Lonchura striata: one gene and its partners. The protein of the gene in region 2 interacts with the protein of the main gene of each other region in a pairwise test. Links are inferred from orthologs where the notes say so. Each region holds a gene or a part of one and is shown on either strand. Other genes may lie near its edges.

What was found.
Region 1: the proteins of DMC1 (region 2) and NIF3L1 interact in binary tests that used the Homo sapiens proteins (3 or more experiments, as listed by UniProt). The two-hybrid records come from large-scale screens. The link is inferred for Lonchura striata from reciprocal best matches to the Homo sapiens genes DMC1 and NIF3L1.
Region 3: the proteins of DMC1 (region 2) and KCTD17 interact in binary tests that used the Homo sapiens proteins (3 or more experiments, as listed by UniProt). The two-hybrid records come from large-scale screens. The link is inferred for Lonchura striata from reciprocal best matches to the Homo sapiens genes DMC1 and KCTD17.

What each region holds. Positions count from the first base shown.
Region 1 is NC_134610.1:27,186,143-27,196,590, reverse strand, and holds the start of NIF3L1 (NIF3-like protein 1), read left to right. Parts: upstream 1-5,742; coding exon 5,743-6,178; intron 6,179-6,873; coding exon 6,874-7,036; intron 7,037-7,509; coding exon 7,510-7,636; intron 7,637-7,986; coding exon 7,987-8,125; intron 8,126-9,268; coding exon 9,269-9,352; intron 9,353-10,217; coding exon 10,218-10,402; 3' UTR 10,403-10,448. Other genes in the region: PPIL3 (peptidyl-prolyl cis-trans isomerase-like 3), read right to left, coding at 795-921, 1,205-1,323, 1,706-1,773, 2,402-2,495, 3,264-3,338, 4,511-4,513. UniProt on the Homo sapiens protein: May function as a transcriptional corepressor through its interaction with COPS2, negatively regulating the expression of genes involved in neuronal differentiation.
Region 2 is NC_134607.1:23,806,606-23,816,807, forward strand, and holds the start of DMC1 (meiotic recombination protein DMC1/LIM15 homolog), read right to left. Parts: upstream 4,357-10,202; 5' UTR 4,346-4,356; intron 2,691-4,345; 5' UTR 2,660-2,690; coding exon 2,603-2,659; intron 2,017-2,602; coding exon 1,972-2,016; intron 1-1,971. UniProt on the Homo sapiens protein: Participates in meiotic recombination, specifically in homologous strand assimilation, which is required for the resolution of meiotic double-strand breaks.
Region 3 is NC_134607.1:23,099,586-23,110,211, reverse strand, and holds the start of KCTD17 (BTB/POZ domain-containing protein KCTD17), read right to left. Parts: upstream 4,784-10,626; 5' UTR 4,591-4,783; coding exon 4,384-4,590; intron 3,764-4,383; coding exon 3,655-3,763; intron 1,915-3,654; coding exon 1,823-1,914; intron 901-1,822; coding exon 805-900; intron 427-804; coding exon 301-426; intron 1-300. Other genes in the region: MPST (3-mercaptopyruvate sulfurtransferase), read right to left, coding at 9,931-10,229. UniProt on the Homo sapiens protein: Substrate-adapter for CUL3-RING ubiquitin ligase complexes which mediates the ubiquitination and subsequent proteasomal degradation of TCHP, a protein involved in ciliogenesis down-regulation.

The DNA of each region.
Region 1 (10,448 bases), on a different chromosome or scaffold from region 2:
AGAGGACTGGGGCAAGAAGCCCAAAATGGCTCTTATCTGTTCAACACCATGTGACCGCAGCCTTTTTGACAGCACTCTTTGTTTTGTCTACCCCCTAGTCTTTGTGCAAAAAAGTGATGAAAAACAAGTTACAATAAATCCATGTTACCTAGTTTCAATCAACAGCTATGTAAGGACAGAAATACTTACTCTTTCATAGCAATAGTGCTGTGCCAGAAGCAGAAGAAACTACTCCCATCTATCTTTTGGAAAGGCTTAAGAGGTTATCATTCCAACACAGCAGCACAAGAGCAAACACTGCTCTAAATATGTTCTTTAATCTTCTGGGAGGGAAAGGTTTCATCTATTTATGACTCTGCTCTCACCTAGGGGGAAAAACTGCATGTCTTACTTTACTCTTTTGAAAAAGGTAAAGAAGGTGACACATAATGAGAAAGTTTCACATAATTGGTAGCATAAAATTATAGCAAAGGACATTGCTTTAACATAACATCACTCAGAAAGATAATGCAAAACCCAAAGATTAGGAAAAAAAATAAAGTATTTTTATTTTACAAGTATAAAAAACAATGCTTAAAAATCAAAATGCTGGAAGATACTCTGGAAAACCTGGCTTCTGAAGCAGAAGACCTCTCTGTGACAACTCCCAAACAACGTTAAAGCTCCTGAAAATTCTGCATTCAATAAGCAAAGATATGATCCAGCTGAAGTAACCCTTTTTAATGGCTCTTTAAACCCCATAATCTGGGAATTATCTGACCAGTCTCTGCAGAATGTGTTGTAGCATTCTGTGGCTACAGTGCAAAAGGGTTGGCATGAATTGTAATGTCTTTAATGCGAACATCATTAAGAGGTCGATAGGTTTTCTCATTCACAGGCAGCTTCTCCAGCTCATCCAGGGTCTCCAAGCCATCAATAACTCTGCCAGAAAAACACAAGAAAATTGCCTTCTAATAATGCTTTAAATTTCACTGTTGATGTGTGTCAAAACATTTTACAGTCAAGTATCACAAGGCAGGGACTTTGCAAGCAAATGATACAAAATAAGACAACCAATACATTTTATGTGGCAAATAATGTACTTTGAAAGGGATTATTAAGCATCCACGACAGACTCTGAGAAGAAGTTCAAGCATTTGCATGTGCCCTGAAATACTCAGATCTCTCACACACTCTGACAGAGGCGTGCAGTTGAATCACTTACTTTCCAAACACCGTGTACTTCATGTCCAGGTGAGGCTGTTTGCCGTAAGTGATGAAGAACTGTGATCCATTGGTGTTGGGACCATTGTTTGCCATGGAAACTACCCCACGGACACTGTGCTGAACAAGGGGAAAAACCTCAGCATGAATACACATCTGTGAAACCAGAACTAACCTGGGCAAAGTGCTCTATGACTTAGAGCTCTTCCTCAATTATTAAGAACAAATCTTGGTTGCTAATATATTCTATCACAGTCAATAATTAGCTGCTCAGAATGGCTCTTACAGTGAAAAACTGCTTCTTTGCCCACTACATGAAAAATGCTGTCAGAAATTCTCTTTACTTCTGCTTTCTGTGATGAAAACTCTCAAATCTCACTTGCCAAGCACAGAAATGCCTGTTCCTATTATAATAATAAGCTATTGTTCTCCAACCAAGAGAAAATTATTGCCGAGAAAATTAAAATGAAAACATAAGTGCATATTGAGAGCACATAAATACCTTTAGATATTCACTGAATTCATCTTCAAACTTCTTGCCCCAGATGCTGTTACCTCCTTTCCCAGTGCCTGACAAAGAAGCACCACAGTAGAAATTACTGGATTTTCAGACTGAAAAACCCAGAAATTATGTTTGTTCTGTTACAGCATTTTACAACAAAGAGTCCAGACAGCCTGCAATTAGTCTGAGGCAGGCTCTTGATACTGCACTAAGACATAACTCTATATAAGGAATCTATTAAGTAGCAGAACAAAACACTGACACATCCTCAAATTAAATTCAGTATGAGTATGAACAGACACAACTGAATCAGCTTTTCTCCCAAACAGCTGACACCGTCTGGGACGTTTTCCCCAAATGATTTAGATGCAGCCTTTCAGGCAGAAACCACACAAAGCACATTAGTACCTGCTTCTAATTTAGTCAACAGAACCATCATATTTAGTGAAAATAGCTGCTAAAACTCAAGTTTGTAGAATGCATAATTACTTAAAACTGGGGTAATGCCTGCACTTCTGTAAGCCCTCCACAAAAAAAACCCCTCATCATAAAAAAACTCTTATCAACAATACAATAATTCTTTTATTTTTATTTTACTTACGTTTTAGTTTTAATACCCATAATTCCTTTTTATTTCCTTACATTTTATTTTTATGTACATTTTTTCCATAGAAAGACCCAGACAGAAGAATTTACCTAATGGATCCCCTGTCTGAACCATGAAGCCCTTTATATTTCGGTGAAATACGCATCCATTGTAGTAGTTACTAGCACAAAGAGCCAGGAAATTCTACAAAAATCAAACAAACCATATTAACAACTGAAAAATAGTATTATCTTACTAAAATGACAGCATTGGCAAGACCAGTGCTTTTACCTCTGCCTTGCTTTGTGTGAATTCCACAGACTTTTGCTGCAGAGTAGTCATAAACAAATCATAGATAATAAACTCCTTTGATAGTGTCACACACAAAGAATACAAAGCTTTCAGTGCAAGGCTGTCTGACTTGAGGAACAAACAAGAAGCCTAAGACATTCTCTCAAATATCATTCCCATTCAATAATTTTATTTGGCACATGTAATTTTGTAATCAATAACTTAATGCCTCAGCTTTTTCATTAAAATAAATGCATTTTATTTCAATTTCAATTTATTGCAAAAATTCAAAACTGGGGTGCCTGACAAACCGTGAGTCTCACTCTTTCAAACTAAAATCAAGTCTGTGGGGATATGAGTAAACCCATGGAAATTTGGGAATCCTAGGCTGGGTGCTGTATTTTGCCTTAAAGGCAAAGGACACTTTGGGAGATGCTGGAACTTCAAAAGAAGCACCCCTTAACTAAACCTTATCAAGAGAGAAACAGGCATGAAACTCCAGTCAGTATGACAGAGTGCACAAGTTCCATGATTGGAACAGACACTACACCAGCTTAAAATGTTGGCGTTCCATTACATGAAAAGGTAAAATTGCAAAAGCTACTTCACCTCCTTCACAGGCTTGACTATTGCTACTGCTGTTTCACCACTAGGCAATCCTACTCCTGGTGTGTGACTTACTTCACAAGTCTTTGGAGTACGCTCACAGAACAGTTCAATTTTAATATCTCCCACATCCGTATGCAGTGTGACAGCCTGAGCAAAAGGCAGAAAACAGTAAATAAATCAGCAATAAAATACTAACATACACTGTTTTATTTCCCAGTCCCATCAAGAACATAAGTAAGTTTGCACTGCATTGAAGTTTGCAGTGCAAACTGCAAGTTTCACTGTTTCAACATTTGGCTATAAGCAAGGTTACTGTCACAACCAATCCACATTTCCAGTGAAATCACCAGAAAGCACTCAGTTTCATTTAGTTTCAGGACAAATCAAGTTTGCCATGGTAATGCAGTACCTGTTGCATGCTCCACTCCAGAAATACATTATTCATTTGCCAACTCAGGGCCTACTCAGTCACTTGAAAGTAAAGGTGAAGAATCAAGTTTGTATCTATTTTGGATGGTGCACACACCGCGCTGCTTTACAACTAGAGAAGCAACTGATGCCTGCAGCCTTTTGATTAATAAGGCTAGTTCTGAATGGCAGAATGTATAATGTGCCTTCACAGATAAGTAAATCTCAAAATTTAACTTATAAGTTCTTAAGAAAAGTAAGTTACCTTCATAAAATTTAAAATCAGCTTACCCAGTGACGTAAGCAAATTTATCTCTACAGGACATATATATTACAGTGCTTCTATGGAAAGTGCTAAACTATGCAAAAACAATTACTGTGGGGATAGCTGTACAGCAAAACTAATTAAAATCAGCATCACATTGATACTGGCATACTGCTCCAAAAGTATACAAGTAAAGGAGATAGCTGTCCACAATGTCCACGAAGATCCTATAGAAGGTGTATGATCAGTTTAAGACATATATATCTATTTCTCAAATTGCTAACTTTTTAAAAGCCTCTGAGCACAGAGGTTTACATACACTGAATCAGAGGTATGTTCTTGCAACTAGACTAATGCTTCTGTGGCAAAAGAAACCAAACTAGATTATCAAATACATGCCAAAGTAGCATTAAAATCTGGGATCTCTAAAGTGAAAGCATAATGATGTGTTAGACTAATGTAAATCAACCTATTTTCCTTTTCATAGTATCTTTTTATAAGTTTGAAATGAAAACCCTGAACTTTTCATGAAAAATTACTCACAGCATCAGAGTAAAACGTGTAATCCTTTGAGACGGAGAGAAGCTATTCGCTTTCCAAGAGATGACCATTTCAGAAAACATATAAAATGTGCTTTTATTCTTACCATGCCTGCTTATCAAAATCTGAGGTAGCCTTCTATACAGCAACTTCCTGTAAACATAAGAACTTTGTTGGGTTTTTTCCTACCAACCCCCATATGGTTTTGATTCTAAAATATTTGTTGGTTACATGCTTTTCCACCACACAGTTCTAGGGTGCCATTCCAATGACTCTGTGGCTAAATTTTTGCATTGAGCAACTACACAGCATAGAAAAAATGAAAAACTACTAGAACAAGACCACTTAGAGAACGGGGAAGAGGGTAAAAACACTCGTTCCTAGGATGAAAATTCATACCAAGCAATCAGTTTTTGCAAGTATTGTGGCAGTCGGCAGAACAGCAGATGGCAGAAATTCATAGGTAAAAGCCACATGCCACTACCTAACAGATGCGTGATTTGGGGCCAACTCATGACAGCTGTGAGTGCTTGAAACAGACAGGTACCTGCACGCAACCACAGGATCAGACTTTTTAACTTTGTAATACTTTCAATTAAAGTGTTTAAAATGCCGGCAATAAAAGCGCGGCTACATAGAAGCCGAGATATATATTTAAGCGACAATAGGTTCACTATACACCCGCCCTCGCCGGTGAAGCCCCGGTCCCGTGTCCCCACCTCAACCCACCTGTCCCCGCTCCCCGTCACCCACGGCAGCCGGAGCTACCGCTCCCTCCCTGCCCAGGTACCGCCACCGAAATGCCGCGCACAGAACAGCTGGGCTCCTCCACCGGCGGCACCGCCGCCCGCCGCGCTCGGAGAACGCCTGAACCTGCCGGGGCTGACGCGGACCCAGCCCCCGCCGGGGACAAGCGGCGGCGCTCCCGCGGGCCTCCGCTCCCTCCCGGCGCTACCGAGGGGCCGCCCCAGCCGCGCTGAGCACGGCGGAAGCGGCGGAGCCGAGCGCAGGTCCCGCCCCGCCGCGCCGGCGCTGCCCCGGCGGGAGGTGAGCGAGGCCGCCGAGGAGGGAGCGCCTGTGCGGCCGGGCTCTGCGGGTCGGCCGTGCCGCGGGAAGAGGGGCGGAGCTTGAGCTCCGCGCGCTTGGTGCTGGCCAGCGGGGCGGCGTGTGCGGGAGCCCCGGGGTGGGGAGGGGCTCGGTACCGGGTGGTACCGGGTGGTACCGGGTGGTGCCGGGGGTGGGCGGGCGCAGCGTCCACAACCCGAGCGGCCGTGGCTGCTGTTTGCCTGGTGGGTTCCCGGGGCTCACGGCGGCCTGTTTGCCCCGCACAGGTCTCGCATGCTGCTGTCTGTGCCGCCGCTGCTCCGCCCGCCTCTCCACCGCGTCTGTGCCTTGGGCCGCCCGCCCGTACGCGCCCTCATGAACCTCCGGGAGCTCGTTTCTGCTCTGAATGACTTCGCATCCCCCGCTCTGGCTGAAAGCTGGGACAATGTGGGATTGCTGGTGGAACCAAGTCCTCCCCACACTGTGAACACCCTTTTCCTCACTAACGACCTCACTGAGGAGGTGATGGAAGAGGCAGTGCAGAGGAAAGCAGACCTCGTTCTTTCTTACCACCCTCCTATATTCGCACCACTCAAGCGAATAACGTGGAAAACCTGGAAGGAACGGCTGGTGGTCCGAGCCTTGGAGAACAGAATCGGGATTTATTCTCCACATACGGCGTACGATGCCATACCTCACGGAGTTAATAACTGGCTAACAAAGGGACTCGGTGAGATTCTGTTAAGAGCAAACAAGTTAAAATTATTAAAGATGTATGCTATTTTAAGTGGGATCTTTCATCATTTGCCTTCTAGCTTTTACAGGTGTGATTTGAGGATTGTTTTTATTTTTCCTAATATTTTTATGGTACTGTAACCTTAAATACATTTTAGGACATTTTTCTTGGTGGTATATACCAGATAACAACATAATAGTTTTAGATGTATGACTCTACTATTGGATGTGTCTGTAACTGGTGGCGCATATATATTGTCCACTGTAGTTGCAATTCTGATACCAATGACTTTAAATCACCACCTTGAAAGTATGAGATCTCAATATTTGCAAAGCATTTAAACTATGTGAAGTTATTTTAGATTTTTATCCTGTATTGTGGCTCACAGATTACAATAGCTGCATCTTTTCCAGTCTGTTATACAAACTAGGAACTCCTTCTGGTTTTGGACAATCCTTAGGATAAAACTGATGGCATTGAGACTGGCAGATAATACATATCCATCTTTGGACTTAAAACAGACTGTGCCTAATGGAGACAGAATGAAAAGCCTCAGTTCTAGTCAGGAAAAAAGGATTTGAGTGCAAAATTTGTACCTTTTGTGCTGCATCTCTATAAGGTATGTGCCAAATCAGTGTTAGGATACCTACCCTGCTTTATAAACCAGCAATCTTGTACTGTTTTCTCAGGCACCTGTACTTCTGTCCCACTGCATCCATCAACTGCACCAAGCTCTCCAGCTGAGGGCACTCACCGGGTAGAATTCTGTGCAGATGCTGAGCATCTGGATGCAGTGCTGTCCAAAATCAAAGACATCCCAGAGATCTCTTGTCTCACTACTCTCCCAGCCAGGTATCTGCTCCACTCTCTAATGTTGTATTCTTCCTGTTATTTGAAACAATAAGTTGCTGTAATTGTATTTTACTGTTCTAATAATTTTGTTCCTCTGTGCATTGCTGCTATGTTTTTCAGCAACTGAATAACAATCTTAAGGAATAGTTGTCCCTTTCCGGTCAATCTATGTCATGCTAAAAGGTAATAGCAACTCCAGTTTAGCATCACATAGATTAGGGGTGTTAAAAAAGAGTATTAACCAGAAATTTGATCGGGACAGGTGAGTTAAATTCCCATATTTGTTTTTTCCAAGACAAGTCTAGGCTATTACAATGCTGCCTTTTTTCCTTTCTCAGTGTTAGAACAGCCACTGGGATAAAATAATAATAATTATAATGCCAAAACTAATAATTATAATACTCTAATATAGTAATTACAATTCCAAAATTTTATCTAGCTTCTTAACAAGCACCAGGCATATCTTTCCTCAGGGTTGAAGGTCAGGAGCAAACACGAGTCAGTCTCAACTGCTCTCAGAAAGCACTGCTGGAGGTGGTGGCATTATTGTCCCAGAACAGCCTTCTTTATCACAAGACCGAGATTCTCTTACTACAGAAGGTAACAAAATCACAAAATTACTTCCTGTGAATGTATTACTTGTGTGAGCTGAATGCAGTAGTCAGTGGCATCACAGCTTTCCAGTGCTACCCCAGTGCTCCGACATACAGGCATACGGGAATTTGAAGCCACACACATTTTCCAAAGCAATGAAACTATCTATGTGGTCTGTACTAATTCTTAAATCAGTTCCAATAGCTGGTGTAGTTGATATGTTACATTTGAGAACATCACATAAATACTTTTTTGTAAAGTTCAGTGTTGCTCCTGCAAACCAAATATACTCATCCTGTTAAAGTGTGGAAAGCACATGGAGTCAACTTTCTCACGGTAATTTAAATTTTTTTCAGCCTCTTCTTCCCCATACTGGAATGGGACGCCTGTGCACCCTGAGCGAGCCAGTCTCCTTGTCAGACATAATTGAGCGTGTCAAAGGCCACCTGCAGCTCCCCCACGTCCGCGTAGCCGTGGGAGCTGGCAGGACACTCGGTAAATGGGCCTGCAAGCCAGAATGCCTGCTAGGACTGGCACTGCAGGAACACAGGGAGCATGAGTGTGTGAACAACACTGGGAAACACTGCTGCCTTTACCACGTTTACCTCCAAGAACTAGGAAGCACTGTTAAGAAATAGCATCTTAGAATTTACGGTCATGTGAAGTCTCATCTGTATTTTAATCGGATTCCATAGTACGCTGGTTGACGTGGTAGAGACTGAACAAATTGAAGGAAAGATAGCATTTTTTGTAATTTATATAATGACTAAATTTTTTATTTTCCTGCCCAGGATATCAGGCCCAAAGGTGTACTGTTTCATTTTATGTTCCCTTTTGTGACTGAATGTTAAAATTCAGAGCACTCTAAGAGTAAGACACTTTATGGTATCATGAACACAGAACTGTGTTTTGATGAAAGATAAGATAAAGAAGGTAAACTAACTCAAACAGTGGAGTCATTAGTAAGATGTGGAGTAAACATCCTCTTAATCCCAGCTACCTATCCCAATGTCCAAGGAGCACAGCTGGTAGAATTTGTGAGAGTAAATTTGTTGAGACAGAAATCTTATTAGACTGACAATTGCACTAAAAAATATATGTCACTGTCATATATGTAATAGCTTGGAATTAGCAATCACAGCAAGTGGACAATTTTTATTGGCATCGAGCAGCTTTCAGCTTGCATTAGGACTGGCCCTCTGAGAACTGAAAGGTAGGAACCAGTATATCTCAGAGGCAAAGTGCTGCCTTAGTGGCATTATTAGTTGGGAAGCTACTGGTGGTGGAACAGAAGAGTCCTGGAAAGAGTAGTGGCCTGCCTATTAGAGTTCAGAAACCTAACTAAGACCTCAGTAGGAGAAAGGTTGCCAGCAGCCAGCCTCTGTGCTGGAGTTTTCTGCGAAGTTTCCTGTCCCTTGAAAAAAATCTACTTATCACAGAGGATTTTGCTGTATTGTCAGAGGTGTTATAGGCCCATGACTTTCAAACTGACAGATGTCTTCTCCAAAATCAAAGGTAGTAGTTAACTGACTCTAAAATCAAGGTAGTAGTTAACTGAAACAATTACTAGCAATACACACATGAGGGTTCAACAGAGGGGAAGGAGCTTGCTTAACTGTGGCACATTCTACCCTGCAGAATCACCACTGAAGAAAGTTGCTCTGTGTGCTGGTTCCGGGAGCAGTGTACTGAAGGGAACAGAAGCTGACCTCTATCTCACAGGTAACAGACTGCTGTTTCATTATTTTTATAAAAATAGTCATTAGAGAAAAAACAAACCCCAGCAATGACTGTTGAAATACTTGACTGCAAAGAATTACCTGTTATTTATAATTGAGAACCAATTAGTTAGCTATTGGAATGACAAACTAACATTAAAGATAACATGGATCAAACGGCAGTGTGGCACAGTGAAAGATACTTGAATTAAAACATTGCTTTACAGCATTTATTTCAACACAAAATCGGTGCTGATGGCAGCGAGTTGCAACTTTAAGTGTGTTTCTCCTTTGGCAACATGTATTTCCTCTATTCCCTACAGAATTCCCTAATGAAGAAAGAGAATATAATGTAGTGTCTACAGAGCCTTCCAAAGAAACTCTATGGTGTGTCTAGCCAAAGGGACACTTAGTCCATTATTCTCTCTTCTAACAGTGGGACAGCTATTCCCTGTGGCTCAGCAATGTGAAGGCTGCCTTGCATTCTTGTAGGAATTGCTGCCCCTTTGCAACCCCTGCAGAGGTGACCCTCAGGCTTCCCAACTGCTTTCCTCCATCCTCTTCCAGACCACTCTGAGCATTTTTATTTTCTGCCCAAATTAGTGTAATTACAACCACTCAAAGATGGCAAGGAATTTCTGTGGTTTGACTCAGCTGCATACAGGGATATCAGCTGAACCTTTCAAAGGACCCTGGGCCAGGAATGTTCCATGTTCCTACTGAGCAGATGGTGTTGCATTTCTGCTTATGGCCTACAATCCATTACATCACCACAGCTTTTAGCTGAGATGCTCCATACATTGCAGAGACCTGGTTACCTGAACTGTACCATTCATGATCTCTGTGACATTTCTTTCTCAAAATGGCAGGAGAGATGTCCCACCATGATGTGCTGGATGCAGTTGCCAATGGGATAAGTGTTATTCTGTGTGAGCACAGTAACACTGAGCGAGGATTCCTGTCAGAGCTGCGTGACGCACTTGCCATCCACCTACAGAACAAAATCAACATCATTGTGGCTGAGAAAGACAGAGATCCTCTGCAAGTGGCATAGGGGGGAAAGATGGGAGAAAGAGAGAAAATTCAGTAGTGTTATCTTG
Region 2 (10,202 bases):
TATCTGGGTATTTACTTCTCCCCTTTCAGTGTCAGCTTTTCTAGATCAAAGCTGATAGTAAAGAAACAGTACAGAATTATTTCAGATAGTGTGGACCTTGGACACCATATAACACTCAGTCTGCCCTTGGTCCCTTAGCACAGATAATCTGTAAACCAGATAATCTGGTGGTGGATAGTTGGGATTCACAAGGATCACTGGAAACTGAATCTACTTGCTGTGCTGTTTCTGCATGTCCAGATTAAAACATATGTATCCTGCAGATGTGACTGACACTTTGGGCTGGAGTGAGCTATTTGTTTTTCATAAATTGGGAACAGCACAACTTCAGAGAGCACCCTACTGACATATTTTACCTTCCCTCACCTCATTTTATGATTCTGACATCACTGGAAATGTAAAAGCAAGAACAGATTACTCATAAGAAAGCATACTTTGTGAAAGGTGTGGGATAATACATCAATTTACCATTTCTGGCCAAGATTTTTCTTTGGAAAAAACTATGAACTGGACATATCATCAATTTGTCTAGAGTGTGTGGGTACATAGAGCATAAGAAGGGAGGGGGGTTGTGTGAGAAATTAGTCATGTTTATTTCAAAGCTTATTTCTCATCCTGTGATAGTGTGTGACACTCAGCAGAGGCTGAGGGGTAACAGCACCTTAAATCCTACTAAACACTTTTGATCACCAAATCACAGTCTCAGTTCTTCTAATCTGATTCTCTTTCTGGGCACACTGGCAGATCCAGTAAATATTTTTCTCTCTAGTCCTTGAAAAAAAATTCTAAACCCACAAAAATTGTTTTTCCAGGTAAATGAATTTAACATATATAGGTCATCCTATGTTTGCACAAAGCTTTTAGCTGGCACAGAACAAAAACTTCCTCTGAGGTGTGGGAATAACCACTTGGAAGAAAGAAGAAAAAATAATTGAAAGGAGCAGAAAACCTTTACAACCCCAGAAGAACAGCCTAAGCCATTATTCTTAGTTTTCAAGCTCTTTCATACATTTGTATCATTCTGTGAATGCCATGCCTTGTTTCATACTGATAGGGTAGTACAGCTCCCTTCCAGCTCAGGTCACCCTCTTTGATCAACTTGCTAAATTTTTAAGCATAATTTGTTTATTTTTCCTATGTTGCCCCATAATTTGAACTCCCAACCATGTGATCCTTCTTCAGAACTATCTTTAAAACTGCCAATGAACTTCCAATAAAAAAAAATTGCCAACAATTGCACTGCTGACCTGGTCAGCCCAGTAACTACAGTGCTGACTAATGATGAGTCATTGTGATATGTCCTTCCCATCTTTGTGTGTCTGGAGTCACTTTTATTAAATCTCACATTACTTCAGGCAAACCCAACTTTTTATTCTGCTTCTATAACTCTGATTATAACAGGATTCCAATACATGAGCCAGTCTCCTAAATAAACATATAATAATTGTAATTCAAATAAATAGGTGATGTTTATGTGATGATGGTAACAAGGATAGGAATTCACATTTGATTAAGAAAATAAACCACTTATTTCTCTAGCAACTAATATTTTTCTCACTCCTACTCTACCCCCTGCACAGTATGCTGAAAATAGTATAGTAACTATTGTCACAGCGTGATTTCACAGGCACCAAAAATGCAGGAGTAATTACAAAGATTGGCAGGAACAGGAAATAATCTATCACACAGTTTTCAAATAAATTAGCAAGCAGTTGGTTTTTCAAGAGTGCTAGGTGCTAAATACTTTGAGTATCTTGACACTTTATTTAGGAAACTGATGTGAATGAGATTTTCTAAAAATCTGTCTTGTCACCAAAGGCAAAATTTGTCTCCACTGACTGAGTTAGAACTTATTGCAAGGAGGAATTTCAGTTATTTGCATCAATGTATATACAATTTTAGAAACAACCTTACAGTAGCTTTTGAGGGACAATGACAATTCTATGTGATCAAGTGATTGCTAATACTTACAATTCCATGCTTCTGAAGCAGGTCAATATCCTGAAAAAAGGATTCCTAAACAAAATAGCAGAAATAAAAATAGATGTTGCTTTTTCTTGTTATTACATCTATCTTGCTACATGACTGTTTCAGATTTGCAAACATTTATTGATTTTTCACAAATAATACATAGCTTGTTGGACAACTGAAATAAGCAAAGCCATAGTGAGCCAAAAAGACATACATGTTTCTTATCATCTCCACAAAGTATATCTTCACAGGCAATTAATCCTCTGTTGTGCTAATAAGACTTGTGTTAGCATCATCATAATCTGCAGCTTCTCTACCATAATTTCTCACTCTTTTCATGCTGATGATCCCTTGCATTTACTACAGAAGTGTAAAATATGATGAAATAATGATAATCCCATTAAAAACTGTGCACAACTTTTGAAAGGTTAATGAAAATTACTTGAAAAGCCAGGCTGTACAGGGACTAGGGGAATGAGATTTTCTTGGCAGTAGACTGGAACAAAATTTTAGATGCATTGAACTCCCTGATGGTTTCTGGGGGCCTCCTGTCCCTCCATGGGTTTCTTAAGACTATCAAAATACCTTTGAACATTTACTGCACATAGTTTTCAATCAATAACAAATTTACCTCATCATCCTGGTATCCTGGTTCTTCTTGGACTACTTGATCCTCCATGGCCTTCATCGTGAAAGAGCATGCAATAAAGTATTGATCACTAGTGGGAAATGCAAACAAAGACAGTCATGGGGGGGCAATAAATGAGTAAATGTCTGTAAAAGGACTGTTAAGAAGTCCTTGAACTACAGAAACATGTCAGTATGACATCATATAGAGATTTAAATTTGGATTCTGCTTCCAACTCTTCATTATCTGACCTACCAGGCCAAAAGGAGAAAATCTATGGTTTTTCACTCAGATGAACCAGTTTGGCTAGAAAGGGCTTCATAGGTATTGGGAAGAGATCTCATTCCCTTGTGAGAATCTTGGGTCAGAGATGAGTTTTGGAGTTGGGAACATATTTTAAATTAATTATTACTAGTGGAATTTATTCTGGTGAGAATGCTAAAGGCAGTCTGTGTGTTTATGACAAAAGTCAGCATAGTTGTAGACAAAATAGGCAATGGAAAGGCAATGTAAAAGTTCAGCCTCTCCATCTTTCTGTGACAGAAAACCCACAAAACAGTGCAGAGACGGCTACAACTCCTTAGTTATGTATCTTGAGAGCAGATTATTAAAGCTGTATTTGTTCTGAAGTTCTTGCTGAGGTTCAAAATGACTAATAAATGCTGAAGATGTTTAGGTAATGGCTGTAAAGAGTATGCTTGCATGGAGAGAACAAAAGAATGGTAAGAAAAATCTGTAACTTTTGTTATGCAAACCCATATACAGAGAGCTCATTTCATGTCTTTTCATGTTTAACTTGCCATGTCTGGACTCCAGCACAGCTTCACTGCCCTCTCTGTGTGACTTTCTATAAGCAAAGCCTAGAACTGGAATAGGCACTTAGTGACACCATGGTTAAATGAGTAAAGTGTGACCTCCTTAAATTTTATGAATGCAAGAATAGTGAATACGAAGTAGTTCCTTAGAAATTTGATCTTATAACCAAACTACTCTATAATTTTTTTAGTTTTGTAAATGGGTTAAGTTGCTTCTATTTAAATTGTGAGCTTACACTTGGTGTTCTAGCTCTGGACGATGAAAGGTTTTGTAGACCACCACATCAAAATGTGTGCATATATTTACTTGCTCATTTCTTAACAAAATCCACAAACTATAAGATGGGCTATGTCTAACAGAAGTTGGGATAGTTTAGGCTAAATATCTGCAAAAGGCCTTTTTTTCAGCTTCTAAATGGATACTAATTTGCTTGCAAGAATCCTGTGTATATAGAGGCTGGGAAAGAAAGGAAAAGAATATCAGAATTTCAGACTTATTTTATTCTGTTAGTATTTAATGGAAATATTCTTATAGAATCGGTTATTTCTGAAAATGTCATGATATATTTAATTTCTATTTCAGAATTCTGACAATTATGGAGTGATAAATCATGCCTTCACATAATTACAGTAAAACACTAATTAAAAAATACTTTGGGAAATTTGAAAAATCCCCTAGCTTCAAATACTGAAGGAAGAAAAACAAGTAATGCAAGAGGCATTAAAACTATATTACAATCTCCTTCTTCATTAAAAATGTCCTCATCAAATGCACATAATCCAGCACTTTAACCACTGCTGAGCAGGTTATGGGATTGTTCTCCTACTCCCCATCCTTAGGCAATTGGCATCTCACAGCAGAAAAACGAGGCAGACCCAGACCCGTGCCTTCCTGGAGGCTATTAGGGAAAACGGAGAAATTTTACCTCACCCTATTAAAAGCTTTAGATACGAAAAAAGTCCTCCTGCTTAGTCAAGCGTTGTCCTGCTGCTGGTGTGTGCTGGCACACCTGAAGGATTCCAGTCACCGCTACCTGCAGTGAAGCAGATAAAAGGGTGAAGGTCTGAGACAACAGAGCAAACCCATGAGAAACCACCAACAATCTTGCACCACCTCAAGTACCGAGGGCAGGTGAGCAAGACCTGGATACCGTGGTGTCCTTCCAGCCTGCGGGTGTGACAGACCCACTCCCTGCAATTCCCCCAGGCTCGGGCCGGCGGAAAATGGCAGCAGAGCTCGGCTCCCCGCCTCGGGGATCCGACCTGCCCAAGGCGCTCCGCGGCGCGACCTCACATCTGCTGCCTCAAAGGAAAATAACTGATTAATCGTCATCAACACACCGATTTATTCGGCTTTTCTTTGCCAGCTGCCTCCTCATGAGATGTACATTTCTGTTCCCAAAGGGCGAGGGACCGCTGAACCTCCCTCCCCCGCTCAGAGCACCGTAAATCCCCATCAAAATTAGAAAAGTAATTAAACCCCCAGCTCATGCCCGGGCAGCTCCGCGGGAGAGGGTGGGGGCAGTACCCGGGCGAAGGCTCCGCGCTCGCCGCGGCCGCCCGCCTCACGGCTCCTGAGGGCTCGGCCCCGCCGCCTTCCCGCCTGCGGGCGGGGCGGGTCCTGCGGCCGGCCCGCGCTTCCCTGCGCCGGCCCGCGCCTCGCCTCGCTTCCCTCAGCCGCGCCGCGCTTCCCTCAGCCGCGCCGCGCTTCCCTCAGCCGCGCCGCGCTTCCCTGTGCCGGCCCGCGCTGGGAGACCCCTCGGTCTCCGTCCTCATCAGTCCATCCCTCATGGTTCATCAAACACTGTAGTCGCCGTCTACCGGGAATATTGCGTTGCCCCCACTCTACAGCTGGGAAAGGCAGCATTAGTTAAAACCGGGTTGGTCTGGGAGGCATTTAGTTCTACCCAGCTCTGCCTCTTGTTTTTCCAGGGTGCCGCTCAGGCATCTTCCTCAACCAAGCATACCCGGCGTTTTTGGATTGGATGCCCAAGACCTGTCAGCTGGAAGAGAAGTGACTTGCCTGGAGTAACAGGACGAGGAAATGAGGCCGAGTCACACACATGACTTAATCTGCCATTTTAAAAAAGCTTTTTAGGGTATGAACACTTCTGCGAGACATCTGCAGACTTGGAGACAGTATTTGGAGAGCAGTCGCCCATTTTAGCTCACCTCTGGTGGCACAGTTGGTACGGGATTGCATATCGAGGAGACATCACATCTCCTGTGAGCAGGAAGAGTTCCCGGCTGCCCCTTGTGTGGGCTTGGAATGGCAGAAGGACTGGAGCAGCATCGCAGCCTGTTTCAAGGGCCTTGTGAAAACTTCCCCACCCTCTGCCTGTGGGAGGTTAAGGGCACCTTTTCCAAGCCATTTCTTAGCTAAGTCAGGAAACCAAGCAACAAAACCCACAGCCTTGTGCCATCATCAGCACACCACAGAAGTGCTTGTAGGGTGCCCATTTGAAACATTGAGCAATTTGTGTAATTACCAAAAGTCCAATCCTGGGACTGCAAGGCTTTGTCCATACAGAGGAAGCAGCTGGCACAGCTTTTGAAAACCACATTATTCTGCAAGAGCTATTCCAGAAGAGCACTTAGGCAGACATCCCTTTAAAGGTGAATTCCTTCACAAAGTATGCTTTTATTCCAGAACAGAATGAAGAGAGTGACCCTTCTGGTGCTGTTGAGCAGCTCTGCAGCAGAAAATACCTCACGCTGTAAACTACCTTTCCTTCGTTATCCTTTTAGTTTGTAATATGGTCTTTAGAAAGGTCAATGAATGCACAGAATATTAAGACCATTTCCCCCTCCAAAGAGCTACTTTGGGCAATAAATTACATTCTACAACTTCAAAACATTGTGTGATCATTAATTGCTCATTCGGCTTCCAGCTGGTGTTGTACAAAAACCCTGCAGAGCTCATCCTGTTAGATATTGTCCCAACTGAGTAGAGGCATCCCTCAGTCTTCTCCTTCCATTTTCCAGGTTCTGCCATGACCACTGCATCTCCATCCCTGAAGAACACACTGTAATGAGACACACCAGTGTGATACACATTTCCTTTCACTTGAGGTCTTGTACCTGTTTGGACAAGAACCAAGTCAAACCATTACCATACAATATTAAGTGTCCATTTGATATTTTTTTTTCTCATCCTCACAAACTTCATCCATGGTTGCATTAGGGAAATCCTGAGGGGCTTTGTTATTGGGGTTTTGTTTTCCATCTCTGGGCAGAAGTAAGATGAGCTGCAAAAGCTCTGTGCATACAATGGGTCTCAGGGTAGGAGTGGCAAAATATCAGATCAGCCAAACTTTGAAATTCAGACTGAAGTAACAGGAGAGCTCTATTGTTAAAATGGTATCACTAGAAGGAATAGAGATGGTACTGGGAGACTGAGTTATGTCTCCATCACAGTCTTGAGATCCTTAGGCTAAGCCTTGACAAAAGTATTCAATACTACAGTACTGGGAGTGATCCTGCATTAAAAAGACACATTAAAAGATAGGTTTTGCTACCTCTAATTGATTTTGAGTTAATTACTACAGATATGTTAGAGGATTAGAGATCTCCCTTCTGTCTATCAAGATGCCCTGTCCAGACCATGGTTCAGCATTGCAGCTATGAAGGAAGTAATGAATTAGAGGGCTGTGCCCACTGATATTAAAGAGATGTCAGGTCAAGTCAGGAACACAACAGATTGCATGTGACTGGAAAAAAAGATAGCAGTAATATCAAAACACCAACTAGAGAATTCAGGAATGGGTATTTTTCTAAATGAGAAATAAATAATCTGTATATCAACTATACAAACAAAGTAAGTGATAGCAATCCAAGCCCCACAAGATTCACTATTTTTATAGCTGATTGTGAAATTAGAAATTATTTTTATATATAATTAAGAATGACATGATAAAATAAAAAATAAAAAAATAAAGCAAACTGAAAAAAAATGGCCACTTGCAATCTTTCCAAAACCTAAACTGAGTTAGAGGATTTATGGAGATATGCATCAGTATATCACATGTGATCTATCAAAAAGACAAAGGAGATAAGAAAAACTGACAAATTTGAGAATGCACATGTAATTTTTTATTTAAGATAAAAAACCAAACTAGTTATAGAGAACAACAGGACTGAAAGAGACATCAAGAGATTATCTATCTCAAAGCAGAGTCTAATGTTCTTTTGCTGGGGAGTCTGTAGATTTTCTTTTATCTTTTGAGAAAGAACTAGACAATTTCAGTGCTTGCCTATCTTTGCCGCTACCCTTGTTGTCTACCCTTTACTATGCCATGTAATTTTATCTGTAAAAAATATGCAGTATTTGAGCTAACTTCTATTTTCAAAAGTTTAGGTAACTGAGACTCTAATACTTACATGCTTTTTTCTACCCCAAAAGTGAAAAAAAATGCCAGCATAATCACGTCTAAAAAAATGCCCAAACATGATGGATTATGTGATTGTGTGTGCAGCTTGTTCTTACCTGCTCCAGACCTTTGCAGCTGAAACATGCAGCCCTGGAATATGGTATTGCCACTCTCAGTAATTTTCCATAAGCTTTGTTCTGAATGTGCAAGGACTGAGATTTGTCAGGTTTGCTTTGTTTGAACTTCTCTTGACCCTACTGTATCTTTTCATTGGTTAACTGTGACAGCAGTTTCCATAATTAACTAGGTCTATGGCTAATTTGTTTTACTTCTGTTTATCTGTGTGTGGTACAACTATCATTTTATATAAATAAAAGTAACAAACAGTTATTCTGTGTAGAAAAGGAGACTTATGACTAACACAGTGATGCAGTACAGAGAAATGCAGGCATGGAGCAATAGCAGAAGCCTCGAGAAGTGGGGGCACAAGATTTGCTGAGGAATACAGGGGTATAAAAGCAACAGGCAAGGCACAGGACTGGCCTGGTGGCTGTGAACAGCTCACCAGTGATCAATCGAAGAAAAGCTGAAATGAAGCTGGATTCAGGGGTAACAAAGAGAAAAAAAAAAAAAAAGAAAAAAGGAAGAAGAAGAAAAAAGTAACATTCATAATAGGCACTACATACCATAAAATCAGATGTAGTGTGGTACTGCCTGGTGTAGATGCAGCAAAGTTGGGGCCCTGCCAGGATCACTTTGCCATGCCTTTTCCAGCCCCAGTGTTCCTGGAGCTGTAGGCTCTTTGACTCTCTCAACCCTAAACCTAACCCTAACCACTCCCCTAACCCTTTGAGCACATTTCTAACCTATGCTAATATATATTTTAAAAAATATATATTTTTAAAGCAGCATTCTCATTTTTAACACTTCTTTCTGCTTGAGCAACTGGTGCTGCAGCCTTTTACAGTTTATCAGTCTCTGCACAAAAAAAAAAAATCTCTATTTTAATCGCTATTGGAAAAAAAAAAGAAATGCAGTTGGTAAAATATATTACTCTGAATCATGAAATGTATACTTTGGGAAGTGAAGGTCTTTTTTTAAACTGTGAGAGCTTTCTAAACAGCTGTTGCAAATTCCAAAATAACTGCTCTTTACTAGCTCCACATACATAGATTTTTGTTCTGGAATAAGTGCACCTTGTTCTACTTCAGCTTAATATTAACTTTATGATAAACAGAAGTAACAGACTAATTATGAAACAAGGCTGCCCACTTATGTAGCTAAGTGGAAGTAGTAATTGCAATTGCATATATCTTTGTTCATTTGAATTACCTCCAAGATCAGATAAAAGTAGGATGAAGAAAGCAATAATAAAATTTATTTGATATGAAACTGGTATCAGTCTTCAGATTTGGTGACAATGCCTCTGACAAGCTTGCATTTGAATCAAAGCTCAGTCACAGCCCTGGTTAAAGTCCATGGGTAAATATCTTCATTTTGCTAAGTAAACCAGAAGAATTGACTAAACAATCCTCTGCTCACAGATTGAATGGGAAGCCATTCCCCAAGGGAATGAAGCACATCACATGGCCAGTCCCTGGCACCAGGGGCCTGATCACTGCCTGATCATGGCCAGACTCTTACACTGCCCAAACTAATGCCAAACTAATGCAGACTGAGCCTGAGCTTAGCTTTAACCCAGCAAGGCATTATGATTTGCTTTTCTCCTATTTGTATTCCCTCTGGTGCTAATCTGAACAACAAAAAAGGAAAGATGGAATCAGGCAGCTGGGAGCTGAGGGAGAGAGGGAAAGACTGTCTTGGCACAGTGCTGGACCAGTTTTGCCATTTGGTGGACTGTCACCGTTCCTGTAGACAGAGGGACTTCTCTGGGACTGAATGCAAATACAGGGGGTAGAATTTGTCTGGCAGCAGCTGCACATATTGGTGCCTAATAAAAAGTGAGAGAGAAGGAACAAGGATTTGATGAAGGAAGCTGGGTCAGAAATCCTGATTTAACTGCAATAACTCATGAGAAAGGGAGTTAAAACAAGAAAATGTTTCAGTGCTGCAGAACATAGGCCTCTGTGTGTGTATTCTTCACAAAGAGGTTCTGACTTCAAATGCAAGCAAAGTTGGAAGTACTGCAAATACTGTCTTAACTGTTGTGGCCAAAATACTCAATGCTTCTTTAACTTATTCACACACTAGCACTGAAAATTAGTCTGAAATAGACATGAAGCAAAGCAGCTTTATGCATCAAACATAGGACAGCAGAGTTTTCAGTGTTACAGCTGAAAAAGGCATAATTAATTGAATGTCTTTTTCTCCCCTTTAATGCATTCCAGCTCAAAGAAGCTGAGTGCTTCTGTTGTCAAGTAGGGTGAATAATGGCTTTGAGTACACTGCTCTGTTTTG
Region 3 (10,626 bases), about 710 kb from region 2:
TGACACAGACAGAATGGGCATGAGGAGGCATGAGGGATGCCAAGGTTAGAGTAGCATGAGAGGTGCCAAGGTGACTTGCTAAAGCCATTTGCCACACACAGCCACACACCACCCCTCCAACACACACTCTCCTCCTTTTGGGCAACCAGTGTAATGCCACGGTGCTGAACACCAGGACAGGCCCCTGTATTTCACCACTGAGGTGCCCCACTGTCTCAAGGGTGAGTGAAAAGAGAGAAGGAGCAAAGAGCAAAGGATCTCATAGGCAATGGGAGCAGGCCATAGCAAAGTTTATCTCACCTTGGCTTTGTGGCTGGCCTCAGAGCTCAGGCCATTGGGGGAGTTGTACAATTCCTTGGAGACCACACACAGGAATTCTGTCTGATCCTCATTCCCATAATTATAGGATGAGCCAATGTTCACAAGCTAGAAAAGATGAGAGCAAGAATCACAAACCTGTATTCCTGGAAACACTCATTCCACCTGGGGAACAAGGCAGAAAGCCCACCATGCAGCACTGAGTCCAATCCATAATCCTGTTGGAAAGCCTCATAACTAAGCTGAGGAGACAACACAGAGAACCAGGAGAGAAGTCAGACAGGATGCAAAGTAGTCTAGTCTCACACAGTATCCTCTAAACCTCTAGAAAGGGCAAGAAAGAGTCATTGATTGAGCATGATGGCTCAGTCAATGACTTCCCAGTATTCTCAGAGAGGGAAGGAGCCTTGCTTGGCAACTGTATGGTATCCATGATCTTTTCCCCAGAAGGCAACTCCCTCCCACCCTGCTCTGCCTTATCCATACCTGCTCAAAGCGCCATCCATCTGACATAGTGGAAACCATCTGAGTGAGCTCCTCTTCCTGGCACTGCAGCACACGGTAGACATGCTTAGGAGGCACCTGAGAGCAAAATTGCAGAGCACACTGACTACAGTCACATGCTAAAAGCTGTTCCCCTCCTGCAGAATGAAGGAGTAATACACCCTTCCTTGACAGATCTGTCCTCTCCCCCATGCCCCAGGTGAAAGGGGAGTGGAAACCACAATCCAGCTTTCTCCTGTGCTGTCATTGGAGGTAAGAGCAGTATCTCTTCTGAAAAGCAGGGACTGAGCTGAGTGCTCCTTGCATTATCCCCAGAAGATACCGCCCTCTTTTGATGGGGAGTATGCACTTGTAAGTATAAAATCATTTTTGCAAATGCAACAAATGCTGATGGGGCTTTGCAGCACAAAGTGACTGTGCTGCTGGAGGCTTAAAACCTGAGGCAGACAAGATGAAAAGTGAGATAGTAGACAATCCTCCCTGTAAGAAAGATTTTCAAAGATTCCTGGCCAAGACAGGTTGTGATTGTGCCACAGGATTGACTCCTTGTCTGCATTTAACTCTTTCACAGCCATCTCTTCACCTATTTCCCCCAGGTTTCTCTACAGGTATTTCCATGCTCTTCATTGTTATTACAATCCCAGGACTACCCACACCAGTCCTCCTCTACATGACAGGTTTGCTCTCCTCACAAGCATTCCTCTATATCACACAGCAACCAGCTACCTTCTTCCAAAAGCAAGAGGAGCTTCCTTAGTTTCAGGGGCTACATCCAGCATTAATTCTGGGATGTAAAGCAAGACTGCAACTTGCTTATTGTAACTACATTCATGGGTGGTAGCTTGTCCCCTTCAAGATTTTGCTGCATAGAGATTAGCACATAATCTTTAGTTACTTCCTTCCATTCCTTGCTGCTTCTCTCAAGTCTTCTCTCCCTCTAGACTCACCTCTCCCCCCTTTTACAACCCTGCTTTCCCCACCCCCCTCTATCTTGCCATACCTGTGTCACTGTGTAGTCCTTCTCCTCCATTCGATCCTTGATTATTCGGATCAAAGGACCAATGTTATAGAACTCGGCCTCTTCAAGGATCCCTGAGAAAGACAGACAGAAGGACCACAAAGACAGAAAGTTAGCAGTCCATCTTTATTTTTGACTTGCAAAAGATCAATTCTGAGCTTCACAAGGTCCGTAGGGAGAAATTATATTACTGCCTTACTTTTTAACAGGCGTGAAACCTTTACTGCAGAGAATTGAAACTCGGCCCTCTGCATCTTGTTTCTAATGCTCACCCCAACTTCCTTATGCTGCCTGCTACTTCACAAATAGGCACTGCCAGTGAAGGCTTGTGCTGAGGACTGCTAATACCTTTCCCAGACACCTGGCCAAGGAGAACAACTGCATGCTCCAGTCTCTCTCAATGACCATTTTTCTGAACTTGCTCAGACTCTCTTATTAAGGCAGGAAACCAAAACTTGCGGTTCTGACAAGTCACCGAAAGACCCAAGAAAAGCCTAACTTGCCTCCTAGGCCACTTGGAGTTGCAGCCCCATATGACTTTATATGATCTTTGGCTCTCTTCCCTGTGCTTCAACTTAAAGCAGGTAAACAGAAATGGTTTTGTTTTTTTCTCTGGGGGTGTTTTTTGGTGGTGTTTGCATCCATCACCTCTCTTGAGACTCACCTGTTTGCTAAAAGGCCTTCAGGAAAAGGGAAGTGGTTCCCAGAAAGTCAGTGAGGGAAAGGTGGCTAGAAGCCAACGCTCACATGTCCCCCGGGCAGTAAAAAGAAAATATATATGGGGAGATTGATCCTTCACTACCTGACACACTCAGACCTCTTCTGTGTCTCTCATTCAGCAATGAATTTGTCTAATGGGTTAGTTTTACACCAGTCTGAATGTTTGCAGCAGGATAAAAAAAAAGGCAATGCAAATGAACTGGACTCCTATTTACATTTCAGATTTGATATTAAAACCTGTGGATGAACTCTGTCTGACCTCAGGATTACAAGAAATGTCAAGTAGGAAACACCTCAGAATTGTGTTTACTACAATCCTGTATCATTAGTTAGGTATATTTTTGGATTTATAACTGGTAAGACTATTCTGAAGAAAATTTCCTTGCTTTAGGTAAAAATGTATAAGAAAGGCAAGAAGACAAATGACCATGCAGAAACTGTGCTTGGTAAGGGCTGGACAGCACAATTTGTATTTGGAATTGGCTCCTTATTAGACCCTAGCATCCAAAAAATAACAAGGCACTGTGGACTGCTGTCTGGTAACACTGTGATGTCACCAAGTCATCCTATTGGACCCACTGTCAACCTCAGGGGAGGGACTGGTTTGTCTGACTTGCTCCACTGGAACTTCTGCAGTCCACAACCCATGAGAGCACAAGCAGCATACAGTGCACATCACTGATTAATGATGGTCTTTATTACAGTCAGTAGAAGAGATGAGCTTGGTTTTGTTTGGTCTACTGGGCTTTCATTCCTAATTAGAAACAGACATTAATAGAAAATTCAGTCATAAAGCCTGGTTAAAAGTAGATCAGGAACCAGTAAAAAATGGTTTATTGAGGCTCTGAGATCTTGCCTACTACTGTCTTGGTGACATCTCTGATGGACAGTTGTGATGCCACACCTGCAAGGATGCCTTCCTCACGCACTCCAAACCCCTTTAGTAAAGGAGACATCATCATGCTTTGCAGGGACAGCTCTCTGAAATCCTCCCCCATCAACATCCACAATGAGAACGAGACGGACAAGGTTGACCACAAGTCCTGTTTTTCCTGACTGTGGTAAGTGGGATCCTTCTGAATTCCACAACTCACCCTCTTCAGCCATATCTTTATCCAGGACCAGCTTCCCATGACGGAGGAAATTCAGAATCGGTCCAAAGTAAGTGGGATCCCGATCTATTAGGTATGCACCAGTTTCATCCTAGCAACAGATATAGATCACAAGGAGGAAAAACCCAAGGAAAACTGTAATCAACTGTAAAATGTCCTAGAATACAAGAAAATAGACACCTAAGCAAAAATGTCCACTGTTTCTAAGATTCTTTGGAAACCATGGGTCCCTGAGTGTCCCTAGCCAAATCAGTGCAGCTTACACTTCAACTCCTGTATTGGTCTGCTCAGCATGCCCACCTCAGCATAAATCAATCCAGCTGAAAAAGCCCAAAAAATAGGCCTCAGTCTCTTTGTGCAACTGTGCATCCCGGCCTGGTGTGAGAGAGCAGAGATCCCCTCAAAGGAACAAGGCTGAGTCAGGCAAACACAGCTGGGAAGTAGACCCAGGATGTGGGGTGACAAAGAGGAAGGAGAGCAAGAGCAGAGGGGAGATGGCCTCTCTTTTCCCCAGCTCGGGAAGGCAGGTGCCAGGCTACAACAAGGGGGAATCTGACAACGGGAAATCCTTCCCGGGAGGGGGGCAGAAAGAGCAGGCATTTCTCACTCAGTTGCTCCTGCAGCTGCTGGGGTCTGGCTCCGTCCCTGAATCCCTCCAGCCCTCCCCAGGCTCGGTGGGGCACGGTGCGGGAGGCAACCCAGCTGCCTTACCCGGTCCGACTGCAGCTCCTCGCCCTGGCACAAACGACACAGGAAAGATTTCTGCTCCCGACACAGGGTCTGCCTGGTGGTGAGGAAGACGGTGCCCCCGACATTGAGCCTCACCCACTTGGCCTGGGTGCCAGCGGGTGGCGGAATGTCCCAGGTGCAGCGTAGCCCCACAGCGTCCTGCATCTCCTCCCTGCCCTCCATCCTCATCCTCACCCCCACCTCCCCCACGGCGTGCAGGGACTGCCGCAGGTGCTGCCTGCCGGAGAATGCCGGGATCTGTAGTTTATCTGCCTCTCCCTCCGCAGCAGCCGTGTTTCCCGGGGACCAGGATCTTCCCTGTGACTACCAAGGGAGTCCTGAGAGGACGAAGGTTGCTCGGCGCTGGAGGATATCACTGCAGCTATTGGGGTGGGCAAAGCGACAGCTCCGCAGAGCTGACACTCCCTGGCTTTTCCCCTGTTCCCGTTTTCACAGACCATGGGCCAGTCAGCACTCCGGAGGTACAGGGTGTTATGCAAAAATCGTCGGCATTTATTTCCACAGACGTCCTCTCTGGCTCATTAAAAGGTTCTGGGAACTGTAGTTTCGCAGGTTCATGCACAAAAGGGTGATGGGAACTGTAGTTTTCCCAGCTCGCTGTTCCTGCAATGAGGAGGCAGTAATGAAAGGCACTGCAGCACATGACCTCAGCCCTGCAGCTGGTACTCTGCCAGCTTCCAGACCTGGCTCTTTTCTGCAAGCTTCCTCGGAGACAGGAAGCATAACCTCAGTGCTGTACTTCACAGCATTCCCTTCAGGACTTCCACCACCCAGGCTCACCATTCAGTGTCACATCAGTTGCCACACTTTCTTGCAGCAAAATATGCAAACAGTTGCCTTCTTGCTAACATATGTAGGGACAGTTCTGGGAAATGTATTTTGAATCTGCATGAAGTGCTGACAGGGGGCAGGAATAATTTTTTTTCCAACTCAGAGGAGTTGCTGACCCAGCAAACTCCCGCTCTGGCCTGCTCTACCAGCACAAACCCCCGGCATCCTTCCCCTGGGCTCCTGCCATCCCTGTTTGTGTCTCGGAAACAGTGAGCTCAGGCTGTAACTCAGCTCTCTGTGGAGTTTTACCTCTGCCTCAGGCGTGTATCACCCGCCAAGGCTGATGTGCCAATCTAGTGTAATAGAATCTAGCTCTGCCTCTGGCACTCGCTCCTGCCAGGCCGAGCCTGGTGCTCAGCAGTTCATGCCCCGGGGGACTCTGTTCAAATACACTCCTTTAGCACGGACACAACCTGAACAAACTCTCTCCAACAGCTCTGTTTTTCCCACTCCCACCTAAGTACAGCTGTGCTTGCCAGCAGCTGGAGCACAATAAGAATGGAAAGGAAACATTGGTGTTTCACCCCATTGTGGCTCAAAACCTTCCTCCACCTAAGCAACTTCCTGGCTCTTCCTTGACAAGGCAACAGCAGCATTGCAGAGACACACAACACTTTTTTTCTTGCATTTAGATCTTAGTGCCTTTGGAGGTGGGGCATTATTGAGTGAAGGGGCTGGGTAAAGGGAAACATAATGTTTCACTCTTACGCTCCTTTTCTTCTTGTCCTTCCTTCTTCTTTTACTTGCAAATCACTCCCTTTTATCACAGAAGAAGGAAGCATTGCCCTTCCCCCAAATCACCCAGGATTTCCTTCACAAAGATGGCATGTGCACTTTGCTCCTTCTGTGGAGGAGTGCCAAAGGGAGGAGAGGAAGAGAGGGCAACATGGGAGAGGTTTCAAGATTGCTGGCCTTCAGCTAATTTGAGTACAGAACAATTCAGCTGGTCTAGGCTGTAAACTCAAATAATTTTGAAACAGCACTAGAATGACCATTAACAGAGCATCAAAAAACATTTTTGTCTACCTATATGGAGCAAGCTCTGGCCGAAATTACTGCCCAGCCCTGGGACCAGTCTCCACTGAGCAGTAATATGCATCAAAAATGCTCAGACTAACACTGACTCGGGCTGAAGCGTCACAGTGCAACACAGCTCTGGGCTGTCAGACTGCTGTCCTCCTAATTCTGGCTCTGGGTCAAACCACAGCAAATTGGAGACCTCTGCCCTGCACTCTGGTGTGTGAGAACTACAGGATCCTGTCTGTGCTGGCTGCAGCTCCAGCATGGAACTGGGGTGAGGACTGTGGCTCTCCAATATGAATGCAGCAGTTGAGTGGCAGCCTATAGCCCCTTATCTCCCCCTGCAAGAAATCTGCCTTTAATTTTTTCCCTTTTATCAAGGGTTCACCCTCTCCTCTTCCTCCTCTCATATCCCCTCAGCCTCTTTCTCCCTTTTAGGGTCCATCTCTTGTTCTCAACACCTTCTTTTCCAACCTCCCCCATGACAATGCTGCTTATGAGTCCAGGGTGGTCTATATTCAAGGCATACTTTGTTCCATCAATACCAGTCTCCACTTGTGGCTGGAACCTGTGATGCTCTGACATTTTGCTAGTAAGCCAACAGTGAATCAGGCAAATAAAATTCCCTACAGTGGACTTGGGGGTGGACACAGTTGAATAATAAAGTCCAGCTTGACTGCCAGCTGAGCCAAGCATTTTGAAGCATGAAGAGAAAGGCCCCATGGCATATAGGCAAGCTAATCTTCCTCCAGCTCCTTGTGCTGCACGAGATCTGTGAGCAACATACCTGAATTCAAAGCAGCATGCAAAGCCTGTGTGTGAATGTGCATCATGCAGCACCTTTGCTGAAGACTGCTGGGAGAAGGAGACAGAATGGTTGTGTAGCACTTGGCTGTAAGCTGGGACCAGGAGAGATGGGAGGAATATGAAATGTCCCTGCAGGCAACACCAATTACTATGGCTCATGCAGTGCTTGGGGCAGTGGTGCTAGTAGAAAAAGGTCTGCTTTAGAATTTGGAAAAATTTGCAGAGGAACACAGTTTACTGGGAAATGAAGCCTTAAATAGTGAAACCTCACTGCTAGAGAGGAGGACAGAAGGAAGAGGAAGGCAGATGACAAAGAAGACAAGTGAAGGACAGGGGACTATGGGATTACTTTTGACTAGGCCAGACTGCACAGAATCCAGACCTCCTTCAGGACAAAAGTATTTCAGATAGTAAAATATACCAATAAACCAATAAAGAATTTACATACTGGCCTGGGATTCTCAAATTTATATAGACCTGTAAAAACTCTAGTCTAAAGGTGGCCACAGGTCAGTGTGACCTTCCTCTTTCATCAGGGCTGTTGTTTAGGCTACCTTTCTGGCTACCATGAGACCTATTCCACCAAAGATACGCTATTACAAATTCTCTGCAGCAAATTTTCCACAAGAAAGTCATGAACATTAGCGATTTGCATTATATCTACTTCTCCCCAGCTTTTGGTTCCTATAGGAAACCCACCCACTGAGTCAGGGACATAAAGATCTGCAGAACATTTATAGTCCTGGTGTAAGTCCCCTCAGCTGTTCCATATGTCCAGTAGCATCTGTTATAGCTCAAAATAGGTTTTTCAAGTCTCCAGGCTTTGAAAACATTGTCTTGGTCTTCACAACATTCTCAGTGCTTTGCATGCATCACCAGAAGGGATCCAAACTAAAAGGAGGGGTAACAGCAGAAGACACTCTTGGATAGATTTTTGATACATGATATTTGAGGGAATACCCCAGAAAAACAAAGTATCTTGCTGTGGGAAAGACGATCTCAGCTTCTCCTCTGTGAAGAAATGAAGGCAAAGTTAAGCATCTGGGAAAAGATTTGCTAAAAGCTGGGAAGAATCACTGAGATTTTGCAGCAAAAAATTCAGCCCGAGAAGGGCACTTGAGTATTGCCAAGCTTGGCATAAATACCAGAGAGAGGGAAGGGCCCTGCTAGATGTCATCAAGCCACAGGAGTGAAATGTAGAGCAAAGGGAGAGGGAAGTTTTCCACGTAATTTGCAATCTCCAGGTGGAGATCTCCAGGCTGGGCTGTGCCACACACCTCCCTGCAACACACAGGACAGAGAAAAGCATCTCAGTCTCAAGAGGAAGCAGAGAGATTCCCCACTGACCTCCAGGACTGCTGGGTCAGTGGCAAAAAAAAAACCCATTGCTTAAGATGCATCAAAAATATTTTGGAAGGGCACACAAGAGCCAGCTCCCTGCATCTATTGCAAATAAGTCTGAAACAATATTTCAATTTTCCTAATAACTAAATTTCCCTGGAGAAACAGAGCAGTCACTCATTTGGCCACATAATCATAAAATCAGCCTATCTGTGTTGTTTGTTGTGACAAGGGTCAGAAGTAAGTAAGCCAGAAGAGATGCAGTCTTCTTTTTTTTTATTTTTGTGGAAGGTTTCTGTGGGATTTTTCGTTTTGTTTTGGGCATTTTTTGTAGAGGAGAAAATCCCAGAGAGAACAAAATCTTGAACATTATCAGGGATACCTGGTGTACTTTCAATTTTTAGACATAAAAGAAAAATGTCTTGGGGAAAAATAGGTGCCAGTATGCACTATTCCTCTGAAGGTCTAAGTTCTACAAAGTTTGTAGGGTAAGGCTGCATGGCAAGAATTAAAATACCCATGCAGTCCATTTTTCACAGTGTAAGCTGACATCCAGTGTAACCTACAACTGTAGACTTTAAGGCAAAAAAGCAAATGGACAAGGACCAAAAGCAGATGGTGCAGAGACCCAAGAGAGAGGCATGCCATTGTCTTTCCTGGGTCAAAGAGCTTGTTGAGGATAAGAGGTGTGGTTCTACTCAGAGAGAGAAGGAAATATCTCATTTGAATCTCACTGTGGACAAAGTGATTCCATAAAAACAGAACTCCTGAAAAGTATTCACCTAAGCAACACTCAGGTAAGTTCAATTCAGCAGAAAGACCTTGAAACATGTTTATTTACATTGTTTAAATCCCAGAATCGTTTCTTTTTCTCAAGGGGGATTTTGGACCATGGGGCTACAAGACTGGCTTAAGTACACACTGTAATTAGAGTCCAAGTACAAGAAGAAATACAATTCAAGTCTCTAGCCTAAGTGCCAACCTCAATGCTATATTTGCTCATTTAAGAGTCATTTCTTTCCATAAAGTTTTGCACTCAAAGTGGCCATAACATACATGGGTGGGACAGAAACAGAGGACATGATTATGAGGCACAGTTATATAAATATGACCATCTCGTGAATGAGCATGACTGAATGCTTTGAGTCAGGAGTTTGGCTTAACTCAATTAATTCCCCATGCTGGCAGCAGCACTCTCTGCCATCCATCTGATACGGTGAAATGGTCACAGAATCACAGAATGGTTGAGGTTGGAAGTGACCTTGGGAGGACATCTGTTCCACCCTATCTGCTCAAGCAGGGTCATCTAGAGCTGGCTGCCCAAAACTGCTGTCATCTTCATCCTCCTAAGCAGCAGCAGGGTAAGGAGAAAGTGCCAAAGCACCATGTGCGCATGATTTTTATCCAATGCCTTCATCTCAAGACACTTAATCAGGAATGCTAAACCCATCTTTTCCAAATCCTATTTCAAGGCAAGCTAAGTGCACAGCTGGGAAACAATGCAACTCATTACACTGTTTTCCCCTTTCCCTCAGAAATAATATTTTCAGGCTGCGCCCTCATGTACCATTCCACCCAGGCCCCATCATACACTGCAACATCTGGCTTGCCACAGAGGTAGGCCCCCAGAGCCACATGGCAGGCAGTGACCCCAGAGCCACATGTGGCTACCACTGGCTTTAAGAGGTCCACCTTCTTCTCCTGGAACAGAGTGCGGATCTGCTCAGGGGTCTTCTCTAAGCCAGACTCTGTGAGAAAATCAGTGAAGGGGATGCTTGTCGACCCAGGGACATGACCAGGCTCAATTCCTAAAGAAAAAAACAATACAGACAGGAATTAATCTCTATTGTCTGGGACAAGTCTATTGCAAAGCCTCTTCTGTTTCACTGAGAGGAATATTTATTGCTTAGAGTATTTTGTTAAAATAAGTACATTTATTTTTGTTACGCTTTCCTTTACTAGATTAGTAATTACTCAGGAAGGATGGCTCTATGTGTAACCTTCATGTTACCACATGGGCACAACCTGTCAAGTTCCATTCTTTCCCCTAGCTCCCTCCACATCTTTCTCCCCATCAGGGCAACCCACACTGATGAAGCACCTTCACAGACCATTCTGAGGGGAAGAGTAGCACCAATACTTGAAGAGACCAATGAGAATCTTTGGGATGTATCAAAAGCTATGTTCCTCACCCAGCCCCTCATG